Solanum lycopersicum: one gene and its partner. The protein of the gene in region 1 interacts with the protein of each later gene in a pairwise test. Links are inferred from orthologs where the notes say so. Each region holds a gene or a part of one and is shown on either strand. Other genes may lie near its edges.

The links.
Region 2: the proteins of FACT complex subunit SSRP1 (region 1) and STOREKEEPER protein interact in binary tests that used the Arabidopsis thaliana proteins (3 or more experiments, as listed by UniProt). The link is inferred for Solanum lycopersicum from reciprocal best matches to the Arabidopsis thaliana genes HMG and AT4G00390.

The regions. Positions count from the first base shown.
Region 1 is NC_090801.1:66,346,330-66,352,647, reverse strand, and holds the end of FACT complex subunit SSRP1, read left to right. Parts: intron 1-118; coding exon 119-205; intron 206-282; coding exon 283-375; intron 376-568; coding exon 569-766; intron 767-851; coding exon 852-997; intron 998-1,085; coding exon 1,086-1,230; intron 1,231-1,384; coding exon 1,385-1,483; intron 1,484-1,573; coding exon 1,574-1,747; intron 1,748-2,626; coding exon 2,627-2,705; intron 2,706-2,861; coding exon 2,862-2,989; 3' UTR 2,990-3,302; downstream 3,303-6,318. UniProt on the Arabidopsis thaliana protein: Component of the FACT complex, a general chromatin factor that acts to reorganize nucleosomes. The FACT complex is involved in multiple processes that require DNA as a template such as mRNA elongation, DNA replication and DNA repair.
Region 2 is NC_090806.1:63,816,077-63,823,663, forward strand, and holds STOREKEEPER protein, read left to right. Parts: upstream 1-3,139; 5' UTR 3,140-3,735; coding exon 3,736-4,929; 3' UTR 4,930-5,283; downstream 5,284-7,587. Other genes in the region: STOREKEEPER protein-like, read right to left, coding at 2,795-3,127; protein VASCULATURE COMPLEXITY AND CONNECTIVITY-like, read right to left, coding at 6,767-6,947, 7,444-7,587.

The DNA of each region.
Region 1 (6,318 bases):
TCTATGTTCAATGTTTTAGTTATGCCTACCCCTTTTAATTCCTTCATGGAGCTTTCTGAAATTGTCTTCATTGAACTTTTAAGCATTGTATAATTGAAATGACTTCTCTGCTTTGCAGCATAACCAACCACACACTTTGGTAGTTATCACTCTTGATCCTCCAATTAGGAAGGGCCAAACTTTGTATCCGCACATTGTATTGCAGGTATTGATTGATGCACATATTAAATAATGACGTACATTCTGTTCTGGTATTAACCTGCTGCTTCTTTGTCTTACCAGTTTGAGACGGACAATGTGGTAGACCTTTCGCTGGCTTTAAGCGAAGACCTTCTAAATACAAAATACAAGGAGAGGCTGCTAATGGGTTACAAAGTAATATTTTTTTTGTGTTTATAGTCATTTGGATTTGCATCAACTGTGAAAATAGAAATGCAAGTTCATTGTTTGTCAAAAAAAGAAAAGAAATGCAAGTTCATTGTATTCACGTGTTTGGTGCTGTTAATTTTTAGCATTTAATAATAATTTTACTTATTAGCATTTAATAATAATTTTACTTGTGAACCAGGGTCTTATTCATGATATCTTTACTCAAATTTTACGCGGCTTGTCTGGTTCCAAAGTTACTAAACCAGGGAAGTTCCGTAGTAGTCAAGATGGGTATGCGGTGAAGTCCTCATTGAAGGCTGAAGATGGACTCCTCTATCCTCTTGAGAAAAGCTTCTTCTTTTTACCTAAACCTCCAACACTTATACTGCATGAAGAGGTAAATTCAAGTTTTTGTAAAGCTCAAAATCTTGTGAGATACATCTTCATTCTTGAAAAACTGACCTATTGTATGATGCAATTAGATTGATTATGTGGAATTTGAGAGGCACGCTGCGGGCACGGCCAACATGCATTACTTTGATCTTCTCATCAGACTGAAAACTGAACAAGAACATCTTTTCCGGAATATCCAGAGAAATGAGTACCACAATCTTTTTGATTTCATCAGGTTAGCTTTACTTTCAAGTCTTCTTCTCGCTCAATTTCGGTTTAACAAGTCTGCTTAGTCTTCCTGACACAATCATTGAGTAATGCAGTGGAAAGGGTTTGAAAATAATGAACCTTAATGAAGCTCGGGCTACAGAAGGTGTTCCTGTTTTGCCCGATGATGACGATGATGCTGTTGATCCACATCTTGAGCGTATTAAGAATGAAGCGGGCGGGGATGACAGTGATGAAGAGGTAAACATGCCTATTTGTCATTTCATCATCTTCAACTCCATGGATGTCTCTCTAAGTCATTGTCAGAGTATCTTGTTGGATTCTAGCATCTTTACTTGCCCTTTGTGTTGTTGGAAATTCTTGAAATGCTGTCTGACATTCATAACCTTTCCAGGACGAAGATTTTGTCATCGATAAGGATGATGGAGGGTCTCCTACTGATGATTCTGGAGGGGATGAGTCTGATGCCAGTGGTAGTGGTGGTGAGGAGGAGGTATAATTGCCCTTTCACGTTTATATATTTTCAAGTTCTTATTTACAAATTGGAAAAATATGAGCTGACATTCATGTATGCTGGATTCAGAAACCTGCAAAGAAGAAGCCTAAAAAGGAGGGTACTGTGTCAAAGCCATCTACAAGCAGGAAAAAGGCAGATGATGATGGATCGAAGAAGAAAAAACAGAAAAAGAAGAAGGATCCAAATGCTCCGAAGAGGGCAATTAGTGCTTTCATGTACTTCTCGCAGAGTGAAAGGGAGGTAGGTGCTCTGTTACATGATTTCTTTCTTAGAAAACCAATGACTTCTCCCGCGTTCTGTGGTCTGTATGCCAGGTTTTTTGTTCTGAGAATTATTGAAACATATAATGTTCATTTTGAAGGAAACAAGTCTTCATTCCCCATAAGATGAATAAAAATAGGCACCCAATGCAGTGTATCTAAGTCTTAGCTTTTCTTACACGAATGTATTTAGAGCCTGGGCTACTCAAAACAACTGATCCATGCATGATCGTATTAACTACTACAAAATTTAGTCCATCATCAAGTTGATAAATCCGTAGCAGACTTAAAAGTGCCAGGGTCCATAATCCCATTTTTTTTAATGGAGGAGAGGCCCATAATCCCATTTCCTTTAATGAAGGAGTCCATAATCCCATATTAGAATCCCTTTATTTATGATATAAATCCTGAAATAATTGAGTTCCTTGAACTGGTACCTTTCATGGGCATTTCATCCAATTAGAGGCATTCTGGGTGGTAGATTCATTTCCTCGAGGACAATGACATGTCTAGACAGCCTTCTGTTCTACTAGTGTAAAGGGCTTATTCCTAGTGCAGGGTTGCCTGAGAGACTTAGTGGCCTTACAGAGTAGAGTGCTCGGAGGTGGAAGAAAAAATAGGGACTAAATTGGTGATTAATGAGATGGGAGGCTCTTATGATGGTGTCAGTTAGGCCCAAGACGTATATGTTTAACAAAAGTTTATTATAATTTTTCTGGTTTGTTGGAAATTACACCCACCTGCTGTTACCGTATTAGCCTGCTTCTTTTGTGAGTTGGTGTGTTTTCTTGCTTTGAGGTACATTTCAAGACTCATCATGGTTGTAACATTCCATTCACTTCCCTTCCGTTTACTGTAGAATGTGAAGAAAAGTAATCCTGGAATTGCTTTCACTGAAGTAGGGAGGGTTCTTGGAGAGAGATGGAATAAGCTGTCAGGTTGGTTATTTTTGTGGCATTCTGGTATCTTATTTGCTTCATTATTTTATTATCAAGGGCGGTTGATTTGATGCTCATGTTTGCTGCTGTCTGTTTTGTGTTTTCATTTTCTTCAATTATATAATTGGCTCACTTGCTGTGTTAATGGTTTCTCAGCTGAGGAGAAAGAACCCTTTGAGGCCATGGCCAAGGCAGATAAGAAACGGTACAGTGAACAGATCAGTGATTACAAGAACCCTCAGCCAACTGTCGTGGATTCAGGGAATGAATCTGGGAGTAATTAAGTGCAAAATCGTTTAATCGAGTGTGGGAACTTAGAAGGTTGACGTGCCTAATCAGCAATTGTGGTTCATAGTTGGAGGTCTTGCTGCTAATGTTTTATGTGAAGCTCAAGTTTTGGGGGAAGTTGAGAATATAGGTTTCGTGAGGCACTTCTAATCAACATCTTAATGAAATATAATTGTTCGTGATATTCTGGAGTACTCTAGACATTCCTCTATGATGTGTTAGCATAATCTAGGAGCTACGTAAATTCTCCTTTAACTTGGTTTCCCGGATATGAAAAGGTAATTTTATAATTTGCTGAGCTTTTTATTAGAGATGTCTCTAGAATTTGAGGTTTATATGTTCCTGTTTCAGTTTTTTTCAATTGATAAAATAGCCAATGAAATTGCAGATCTGTGATTACCACATCCAATAATTTGTTGCAACACCTGGTAGCTGAATGTGAAAAATGTCGGACTTAGACGTCAATCTCTTCCCAAAATGATTAGAAGCGATTGTAATTTGCCTTTTTTTTAATCAATGTAAGCAATTTAACTTGCACCAAAATGCACCACTTGGTTATGGTCAGTGGAATAGCTATGCGATACGGTAACAACAGCGGATCCCTCTACAGCATCATCAAGCCCGTCATAACAACTCCACATTGGCACATGATCTGCCCGAAAATTCTATCAACCAAATGTAGAAATTCTGTTTTCATTGCCGTTGTTCAACGTGGTCTACCACGTCTCTGATCATTACAAACAATGTTGTGAATGCAGTGTCTTTGGGTGATCACGTTCTTCACGTAAGAAATTACCTGTCGAAATATAAACAGTTTACGATTGTGCTTGGTACTAGCTCGTTAAGAAGGCTCTTTTTCTAAAAAAAAATTAAATAAATAGTTGAAATTGGTATTAAGTTAATTGATAATTGGACCCTTCTCGATTAAAATGACAAAAATTTCCCTAAAACGGTTTATTTAGAGGGAGTATATAAATTGTAAAAATATCTTTGCATGGAAAAAAATAAATGACAAAAAAAGAGATGGAGAGGGACCTGGGGATAAAATTAGTTAACGTACTGTCCAGTTTGCTTAGCGAATGCAAGGGTAACATTGATAGGGTCGGGCTTATTCATCTGCTTCTGGACTCTCCGATAACTTGTCTTTGTGAAAATTGAGTAATGTGATTGTAACTTCTAGTTTCTTCGTGAAAAAATCATGCCAATTGACTGGTCAGGAAGCTGTTGGTTTGACGGAATTGCAATACTTACTCCAAGGCTGGCTAAGCGCTTTCCATGTTGTTATCTATTTTTTTGCTTCAGAGTGACTGGCAATGTGCCCGCCCATATGCTGTAGGATATTACAATGTTGAGCTTCATCTCTCATTCTTGCACTTGCATGGGCAAGCCAATGACTTTAAAATTCAGTACAACAGCCTAGTCCGTGTTTTTTGTTGCCCAAGGCTGTTCCCCGTTTAGCATCTTTATCAATGTTTTAGTCATGCCTACAATCGTCTTCATTGAACTTTTAAGCAATTGTATAATTCAAACCGACTTCTCTGCTTTTGCAGACTAATCAACCACACACTTCAGTAGTTGTCTGTCCCTCTTGATCCTCCGATCATGAAGCGCCAAACTTTGTATATGCGTACATTGTATTTGCAGGTATTGATTGATGCATATGGTATAATGACGTACATTCTATTTTTGGTATCACCTGCTCTTTTATATTACCAGTTTGAGACTTACAGTGTGGTAGACCTTTCGCTGGCTTTAAGCCAAGATCTTTTAAATACGAAATACAAGGAGTGGGGGCTAACGAGTTACTAGGTAATTAGATTTTTTAATTTTTTCTTGTGTTTATAGTCATTCGGATTTGCATCAACTGTGAAAAAAGCAGTGCAAGCTCATTGTGTTGACGTGTTTGGTGTTGTTTACTTCTCTAATTTAAATTATGAACCAGGTTCTTATCCATGACATATTTACTCAAATTTTAAGCGGCTTGTCTGGTTCCAAAGTCACTAGACCAGGGAAGTTCCGTAGCAGTCAATATGTGGTGGAGACCTCACTGCAGGCTGAAGATGGACTCCTCTATCCTTCTTATTTATACTGCATAAGGGGGTATATTCACGTTGCTGTAAAGCTCAAAATCTTGTGAGTATCATCTTCATTCTTGAAAAGACTGACCTTATTCATTATGCAATCAGATTGATTATGTGGAGTTTGAGAGGCATGCTGTAGGCACGGGCAACATGCATTACTTTGATCTTCTTGCCAGACTGAAAACTGAACAAGATTATTTTTTCCGGAACATCCAGAGAAATGAGTACTACAATCTTTTTTATTTCATCCGGTTAGCTTTACTTTCAAGTCTTCTTCTCTCTCAATTTGGGTTTAACAAGTCTGCTTAGCCTTTCTGACACAATCATTGAGTAATGCAGTGGAAAGGATCTGAAACTATGAACCTTATTGAAGCTCGGGCTACAGAAGGTGTTCTTGTTTTGCCCAATGACGAGATGATGCTGTTGATGCACATCTTGAGCGTATTAAGAATGAAGCACGTGGGGATGGCAGTGGTGAAGAGGTAAAATGCCTATTTGTAATTTCATCGTATTCAACTCCATGGTCGTCTTTCTCTAAGTTAGGATGAATCTGATGCCAGTGGTAGCGGTGGTGGACGTATAACTGCCCTTCATGTTTATATATTTTCAAGTTCTAGTTTACAAATTGAAAAAATATGAGCTGACAGTCATGTATGCTGGATTCAGAAACCTGCAAAGAAGAAACCAAAAAAGGAGGTTACTGTGTCAAAGCCATCACAAGCAGGAAAAAGGCCGACAATGATGCATTGAAGTAGAAAAAAACAGAAAAAGAAGAGGGATCCAAATCCTCCGAAGAAGGCAATTAGTGCTTTCATGTACTTCTTGCAGAGCGAAAGGGAGGTAGGTATTTTGCTACATGATTCCCTTCCTAGTAAACCAATGACTTCTGCTGCGTTCTGTGGTCAGAATATAATGTTCATTTTGAAGGAAACAAAGTCTTCTTTCCGTATCAGTAGCTTTCCTCATATGAATATATTTGGAGGCCGGGCTACCAAAACCACTAATCCATGCATCATCATGTTATTAACAATCCTGAAATCATTTTCTATGAAGCAAAATAATCCTGAAATCATTTTTTATGAAGTTGGGAGGATTCCTGGAGAGATGGAATAAGCGTTTTGTGGCATTCTGGTAGTTATTTTATTTGTTTCATTATTTTATATTTAAAGGCGGTTGGTACAATGCTAGTCATGTTTGTTACAGTCTGTTTTGTGCTTTTTTCTTTAATTATCTTATATCATAGG
Region 2 (7,587 bases), on another chromosome or scaffold:
GCCATAAGTCAACCTATAACCACAATAACAATCAGTATATTGTATAATGCAAGCAACAAAATCGAAGCATATACAATAACATCAAAACAGAAGCAACAATTGGTACTTAGTATAGTAGACATATTACTCATCAACATACAATAGGCATCCCACACAATATACTTAAACAAATTACAAAATACCTTACCATTTAACAATACCAGAAACCCTAGCACTTAAAACCTTAATTTTACCAAAAAGCCTTAATTTTAAACTGATTATCAGAAACCTTAATGCTTATGCATGAATAAGGTAAAAAAAACTTCATAATAATACATTCATTAAGTGAAAATTCTAGTTGAAAACTATTAGACCCCTAATCGGAAACTCAATCGGAAACTATGGCGAAATCTCAAACAAAAAATAGGGCAAAATATGAATGAAAAGTAAATTAAACATACAACAATACATCAAGCCTTCACGAAATCGAGTGGATAATCACTTACTTGTTAACAATTTCAGACAAGATCCAAAGAACCAATCGACACCAATCGACCAAACACTTCACGAAATCTAGCAAGTCTTTACTCCAGAACTGCAACTGGCAAAAATCTACTCGTTACTTTGTCGATTACACTTGTCAAATCTACTCGTGGGAGGTTTAGAGAAAAGCAAAGAGGTTTAGAGCAAAACGAAGAAGCTTCTTTGAGAAGTTTTAATCGATGTGAATTGTGAAGGTTGGTCCCGAAGTTTTAATTATCTAGGTGATAAAATATTTATCTAGGTGGCAAAGTATTTATCTAGGTGTCGTGCGCGTGTAGACACGATCGTAGTGATCAGTCAGAAAAGGTGTACGTGTTGGATGAAAAAGCAAGTTCAGGGGGTAATTAAAACAAAATAAAGTTTAGGTGTACACTGAATAAAAAGTTTCAAGTTCAGGGGGTAATGAATAATTTTGCCAAAAAAATTAATGATTAAACTGATTGTATTTTATTATGTTCATAATTATTTGTATTTATTGAGAAATTTGTATAATGTACTATAATTTTGTATATGTATTATAGAGTGATTTTAACAAAATTTCTTTTATACAAAACTAAACATTATTTGTATACAAATATCTAATGCCCCTCATAAGACTTTGTATATGTTACCTTAATATATGACTCACTATATACATAACTTTGGTAATTGATATACAACTAATAGAATATACAAATAAGGACTATCTCATAATACTTTGTATATATACACTTAATATACAATCCACTAGTTATGTAATTTGTGTATAAATTATACAACCTAATGTTATCGATATTCTTCAGATTTGTCTAGTTCTGATGAGGCAGATTCAATCTCTTCTGAATCAATGTTTATGGCTTTTCTCTTACTTCCACCTTCAACAATCTTAATGCCGCTAAATTTCGCGTTGTTGATGACTTTATGAATTGTCATTTGGTCATTTTCTTTCTTGGATCTCATTCTTCAATAGATTGTTCAACTTGAACTTGTTTATGTTTTGTCATAGACCCTACATTGGCCCCAAAATCACGAGTTAACCCAATCGAAATGAAGGTGGGTTATCAACAACATTGACATGCAATGACATACCTCTCGTAGTCCTCATAGATGGAGAGGAACCATTCATTCCGATTTTTTTGACAGACTTGTAATCTGATTAGTAAAAAATATTTAAAACAAATATATATGAAAGAACTAACAAACATAATACATCAAGAAAAAATATTAAAAGCCAACGAATTTAGTGATTACCTGCGAAAAGTGGAAGAACAATCAAGGGAAAAAGTCAAAATTTTCCCAATTCGAAATTCAAATTAGAAGGGAAGAGTGATTTTAGGAGAAATATATGGAATGAGAATATGAGAGATAAAGTTGATTTTGTATAAAATTATGTAGAAAATCTTTGAATGACTATTTTTATTCCGTATACAAATAGGTAGAGTAAATAAATTAAATTATACCCTTAACTAATTACTTAAGGATGTTTGTCATCCCATGTAATTTTCCATTAAAAGAACATGAAAATTCATCCTATAATTTGATCTAGCCCATTTAGCCCGTTAAAGAACATGAAATCCATCCTTTAACTTGATTTGGGCTCATTTAGCCCGTTAACTACACTAATCAAGGCAAAAGGCTAAGTCAGATGTACTTTCCCTGGCCCCATCCCCACCCCCTTTAACATTAGCTAGGGTTAGCTTGAATTATGTATGACCATAATTTAGTGAGTCGAATTTTCTTAGCCTGACAAGATAATATCATCACTTCAATATTCGAACAATAAAAATTAAAAATCTCATTCAATTGATACATAAATGACCAAAAAAATGAAGGAGTAGACATTAATATTCAAAATATACGTAATCTAAGAACATGGTAAGTAATTTTATAATTTTTTCTATTTATTGATTCATTTTCTTCTGCAATCTTGGACTTCCTCCTCCCTTTCTCTTTCTAGGTCTTTTATGGCCTCTTTGTTGCTGATTTAGATGGGAAATCAACTTTTATAGAAACAACTGGCTTAATTGTGAAGGCTGATGGAGAAGAGAAAGGCAGGAATGACCTGATTTCATTTCGGATTTGAATTCTGACTCGTCTTCACTTTTGAAATCAAAAGAAGATTGAGATTTATGTGGGTTTGACCTGTTTTTTTTAGTATTTGGTCTCTTTTCAATTTGAGGGGTTGTCTCGAGTTCCTCACCATTTTTTAGATTCAGAACTCTTTCTAACCTCAACACTCTTTTTAGCTTTGCCATTTGAGCTATTGTTAACATTATCCTTAACCCCTCCATTACTAGATCCTGGAGCGCCCCAGTTCTCTTCGAGTGCTCAAAACCAGAAAATCCTGACTCTTCGTGAAAACTGGCTCTTCACCATCTTTCACATTAGTCAAAATTTTCTTCTTTAGCCTCCTTACCTTGTCACTAATTTGACTCTTGGAAACTTCAGCCTGCAACTTCCCCTTGATGAATTCATGGAAAGCAGACATGTCGGCACTAGGTTCCATACCTTTTACCGTCTTGTATTCAAGAATCCCTTTGAGTAGAGCAAGCTGGTCATCATCGCTCCAAAGACTCCGGGAAGTAGCAGCAGACTTTTTCTCCTCTTCTTCTGCAACTTTGGGCATTTTCCTACCTTTCTCTTTCTGTGCCTCTTGCGGTCTCTCTGTTGCTGATTTCGATAGGGCAGCAGCTTTAGCAGCAACATTCGGCTTACGAGGAGGAGGAGTTGATTTTTTTTATCCTAATTTTGGTTTCCTTCCTCCCTTTCTAGGTCTTTTGCGGCCTTAAGTTGATTTTAATGGGGCAACAACTTTTGTTGAACCGATGCAGAAGGGGAAGACAGGGAATAACCTTATTCAGATCCTAACTCATTTTCGCTCCTGAACTCAAAAGATGATTGAGATTTTTGTAAGGTTTAAACTGATCTTTATATAATGGATCCCTTTTTAATTTGAAATTTATATCAAATTCCTTATCACTTTCATCACAAATCCCATTCCATATGTGAGTAGTTGTATTGGTGTTATTCATAAATTTCACTTGGAATACACGTCTAAATGGGGAAAGTGATTATCCAATCGTAGAAGGGCGCGGCAATCGATTAATACATTGGCTTTTTGTATAAATTGAGAAAAACCCTACACAAAGCTTTCATCTTTTTGACTCTGCTTCAACACTCACCCATACACACAGTTGACGGCCGAATAGCTCTCTCTTCTTGCTTTCACAAACAATGGCCCCCAAAACCAAATCCCGCTTAGTAGACCAGCCTCCTTCTGCATCATCCTCTGAAGAACAAGAATTGGTGGAGGAATCCCAGGAAGAAGAAGAACAACAATCGAGGGAGGAAGAAGGAGAAGAAGAATCAGGGGAAGAAACTGAAGAAGATGAAGAACCCAAGACATCTCATCCCGTTGTAAAGAGACCCATTTCTCAAAAACTAGTTCAGACACCACAGAAGCCCCAATTTTCTTCTGGAAGCGAAAATGGGTCAGGATCCGATTCGGAAGCGGAATCGGGTAGTTCTCTGCCTTCACCTTCTGCATCGGCTTTCACCGTTAAGCCGAATGTTGCTGCTAAAGCTGCTGCCTCATCGAAAGCAACACCAAAGAGACCACAAGAGGCGCAGAAAGAGAAAGGGAGGAAGAAGCCAAAGGTTGCAGAAGAAGAGGAGAAAAAGTCTGCTGCTACTCCCCGGAGTCTTTGGAGCGATGATGACCAGCTTGCTCTACTCAAAGGGATTCTTGAATACAAGACGGTAAAAGGTATGGAACCTAGTGCCGACATGTCTGCTTTCCATGAATTCATCAGGGGAAAGTTGCAGGCTGAAGTTTCCAAGAGTCAAATTAGTGACAAGGTAAGGAGGCTAAGGAAGAAATTTTTGACTAATGTGAAAGATGGTGAAGAACCAGTTTTCACGAAGAGTCAGGATTTTCTGGTTTTTGAGCACTCGAAGAGAATTTGGGGCGCTCCAGGAGCTATTAATGGAGGGGTTAAGGATAATGTTAACAATAGCTCAAATGGCAAAGCTAAAAAGAGTGTTGAGGTTAGAAAGATTTCTGAGCCTAAGAGAAGTGCTAAAGTTAGCAAACCAAAGGATGATGAGAAACAGAAGGAAGAAGAGAAACAGATTGCCGTAAAAGAGGTGGTTAAGGAGGATATAGTTAAGGGTGATCAACTGGATTTCCAGTCCAAGTATCCACGTTTGGCTGCATCACTTGAAGCTATGTCTGGCTTGTCTAAAATGTATCCTAATGGAACAAGTTTGTTGAAGGAGAAGATGAGTTTGATTGCTACCGACAAGGCTAAAGTGTTGGAGGAGAAGTGGAAGATTCTGGAGGATGATGAAGCTGACTTGATGGTGAAGCGCCTCGATTTCATTGCGGAGCATTACAGATTGGTGGTTGATGCAATGAGAGGTAACTAGATGCTGATGGATCCTGTTCTATTCAATGCTACAATTTGATGAACTTGTGTTTAGCCCGTGAAGTAGAATTAGTTTTTCAGGTTGTTTCATACATTTACTTGCTTATTTAGTTTTACTAGTGAACTGGTGTTTATGATATCGGCTGTGTTGCTTCTTATATATGTTGGTGTGGTATGGAGTGATTGGCTCTATTGTGGAGTTGCAATGAAATGCCTACACATTCCTATCATATAATGTATGATGGAAGCAAGCTTAGGAACAGCTGAAGTGGAATGTCTGGTTCATCTTTTGTAATATGTCATTTCCTATTCTAGATGGAAATATATTTAAATGCGATCTTTCTCAGTTTTTGCAGCTTGTGTTGATTCACTTTGTTCTCAAGTTGTTGTAGCTTGTGTTGTCCTTGGCCTACTTGTTATCTCCTTGCAATGTTGATTCACTTTGTTCTCAATGGTTGTTCATGTAATTGATTCGAGTGGGGGATAGTTACGTTTTCCTCTAGATTTTTCCTTTGGTATAGAGCGCAATGTTGTTTCCTGACTAGACAGTTGTTCAATCCTTGAGGTTTCTAGTCTAGTTATATATCTTAAAGAACTTGAATTATGATAGAGAAATTCCTTACTGGCGCTGCTTATTAGGTGTTTCCTTTAACTGCTGATTCTCTATTCTTTCCTAGTGAAGATATTCTGCAGCGCATGAATGCACACACAGATACACCTTGTATATGTGTGTGCGTGTATACACACTTGGATTTATCATCATTCAATCAACTATATGTCAATCCTACGAGTCTATGACAATTGAGGTCAGTTATATGAATTCTCAATATCCGTTTGTTTTGTTCAGGTCCATTGCAATCCCTATACTGAATAATTAGGTCTTAAAGGACAAATTAAGATAGTTCTAAATCTCCCACTCATCTCTTTATGGTATCTTCTTACTAGTCATCACTCATACAGATCTTTTGGTTCCATTTTGTTCTGTTTTTAACCAAGTCTACATTGATTTCAATAGACTTTAGGGCTTGAAAAAAAATTTCTCCATGCGACTCAATTTCACCTCTTAAAAATCTTTATTATTATTTCGTCAAACCTATAAAACAGTGCATTTTGAAGGTCTTAACACTGGAGGAAGCCATCTAACTTTATCTTCTATATGTACTACCTGCACTCTGTTAGCCCTCCTAATTCAATTGTATATTGCTCTCTCTCTCATACCTTTCGAGGTAGACTCAGAATAGATATCTAAATTGCTCCGTTATGCACCATAGCTCTATGTTACGTAACAATTTTAGCTCTGATTTATGTTTCCTGGAAACATATTTCCCATTTGCTTGCAGTTGCGGAACATCAATTGTGCTGGTTGATGTTGTCGCTCTTTTTTCATACATGCAGAGCATAATCCTGTATGTTCTTTACAAGTCTAGGGTGTGATTCGTATGGCGGAAAATGTTTTTCAGTTTTTCACTCGGAAAATTAGCTGAGGAAAAGGATTTTTCTAATCGAACTAGGGAATCAAGTTCCATATGTGTCATTTCATTCGTTCTCATATCATCTTTTTTGTTTATTTACCGAACACTAGAAAATGCATTTCTTCCCACACCCCAAGTATGCTATCGTGCTTTTGGAGCAGTTGTTTGATTCTTTGCAAATGATCAATCTGTTGCCAGGGCAAATGATTATATTTTCTGTTGATACAATCAAGTGTGATCTTAGATTTAAGATACATATCTTGTAATTAGTTGCGATTATCAATAATATTGTCTACAACACAATCATAGTACCAAAACATCTTCATTACATTACAGCCCCAATAAACAAAAAATAAATAATTTGGATTATAGGGCAAGTAGCATTGAGGCAGTAGAATAATAGGCAACAGCAAAGATGGCATGGATGAAACACAAAATTCCACCAATTGAGAAAAAATGGTGATGTGAAAACCCACAAGAAGCTCTTGATTTGTTGTTTGCCATTGTCCCTATAACCAGTAGTCCCATTCCTATTGCCATTATGATCCTGTAGGGAAAAAAAAATAACCACAAATTAAACCCAACAAAATATATGATCTTCTTATTTGTTTTTATCGATTTTTAATGAGTTAGCTTTTTTGATTAAATAGTTACGGTTCATTTCTTTAAACATACAAGAGTCAAACACATATTATATCTTTGGTTTATTTCATGTTGGGCCTAAATATTACGTTGTTTATGTTTCAGATGTCCAATCTTGAACACATGCATGATGTTTGATCATGTCTAGTCGAAGAAATGAGTCATTCAATGTTCTTTTTATATATAATCTCGAATAATATTCTTTCACCTTGTGAAAAATTAGATCTAAGGTCTCAAACATTTCATAGTAAGAAAAACCAAAGTAAATAACAAAAAAAAAACTCTCCGTTTCAAAAAGAATTATCTCCTTTCTTTTTTGTAAAAGAATGACCCCTTGGTAATACTTTTGTTTTAACTTTCCACGTGACATACTTTGATAAACGAATGAGTTGAAGAGGTACCATGTAAAAACAAGACAAGCCATTGATAGCTTTCTACTTGGGGATGCTTGCTTAATGTCATCAGTAGCACAAACACTGCAGCCACCAAGAAGATTGGCAAGAACATGAGCAATGGCAAGAAGAGATGCTGCAGCCACACCTAGT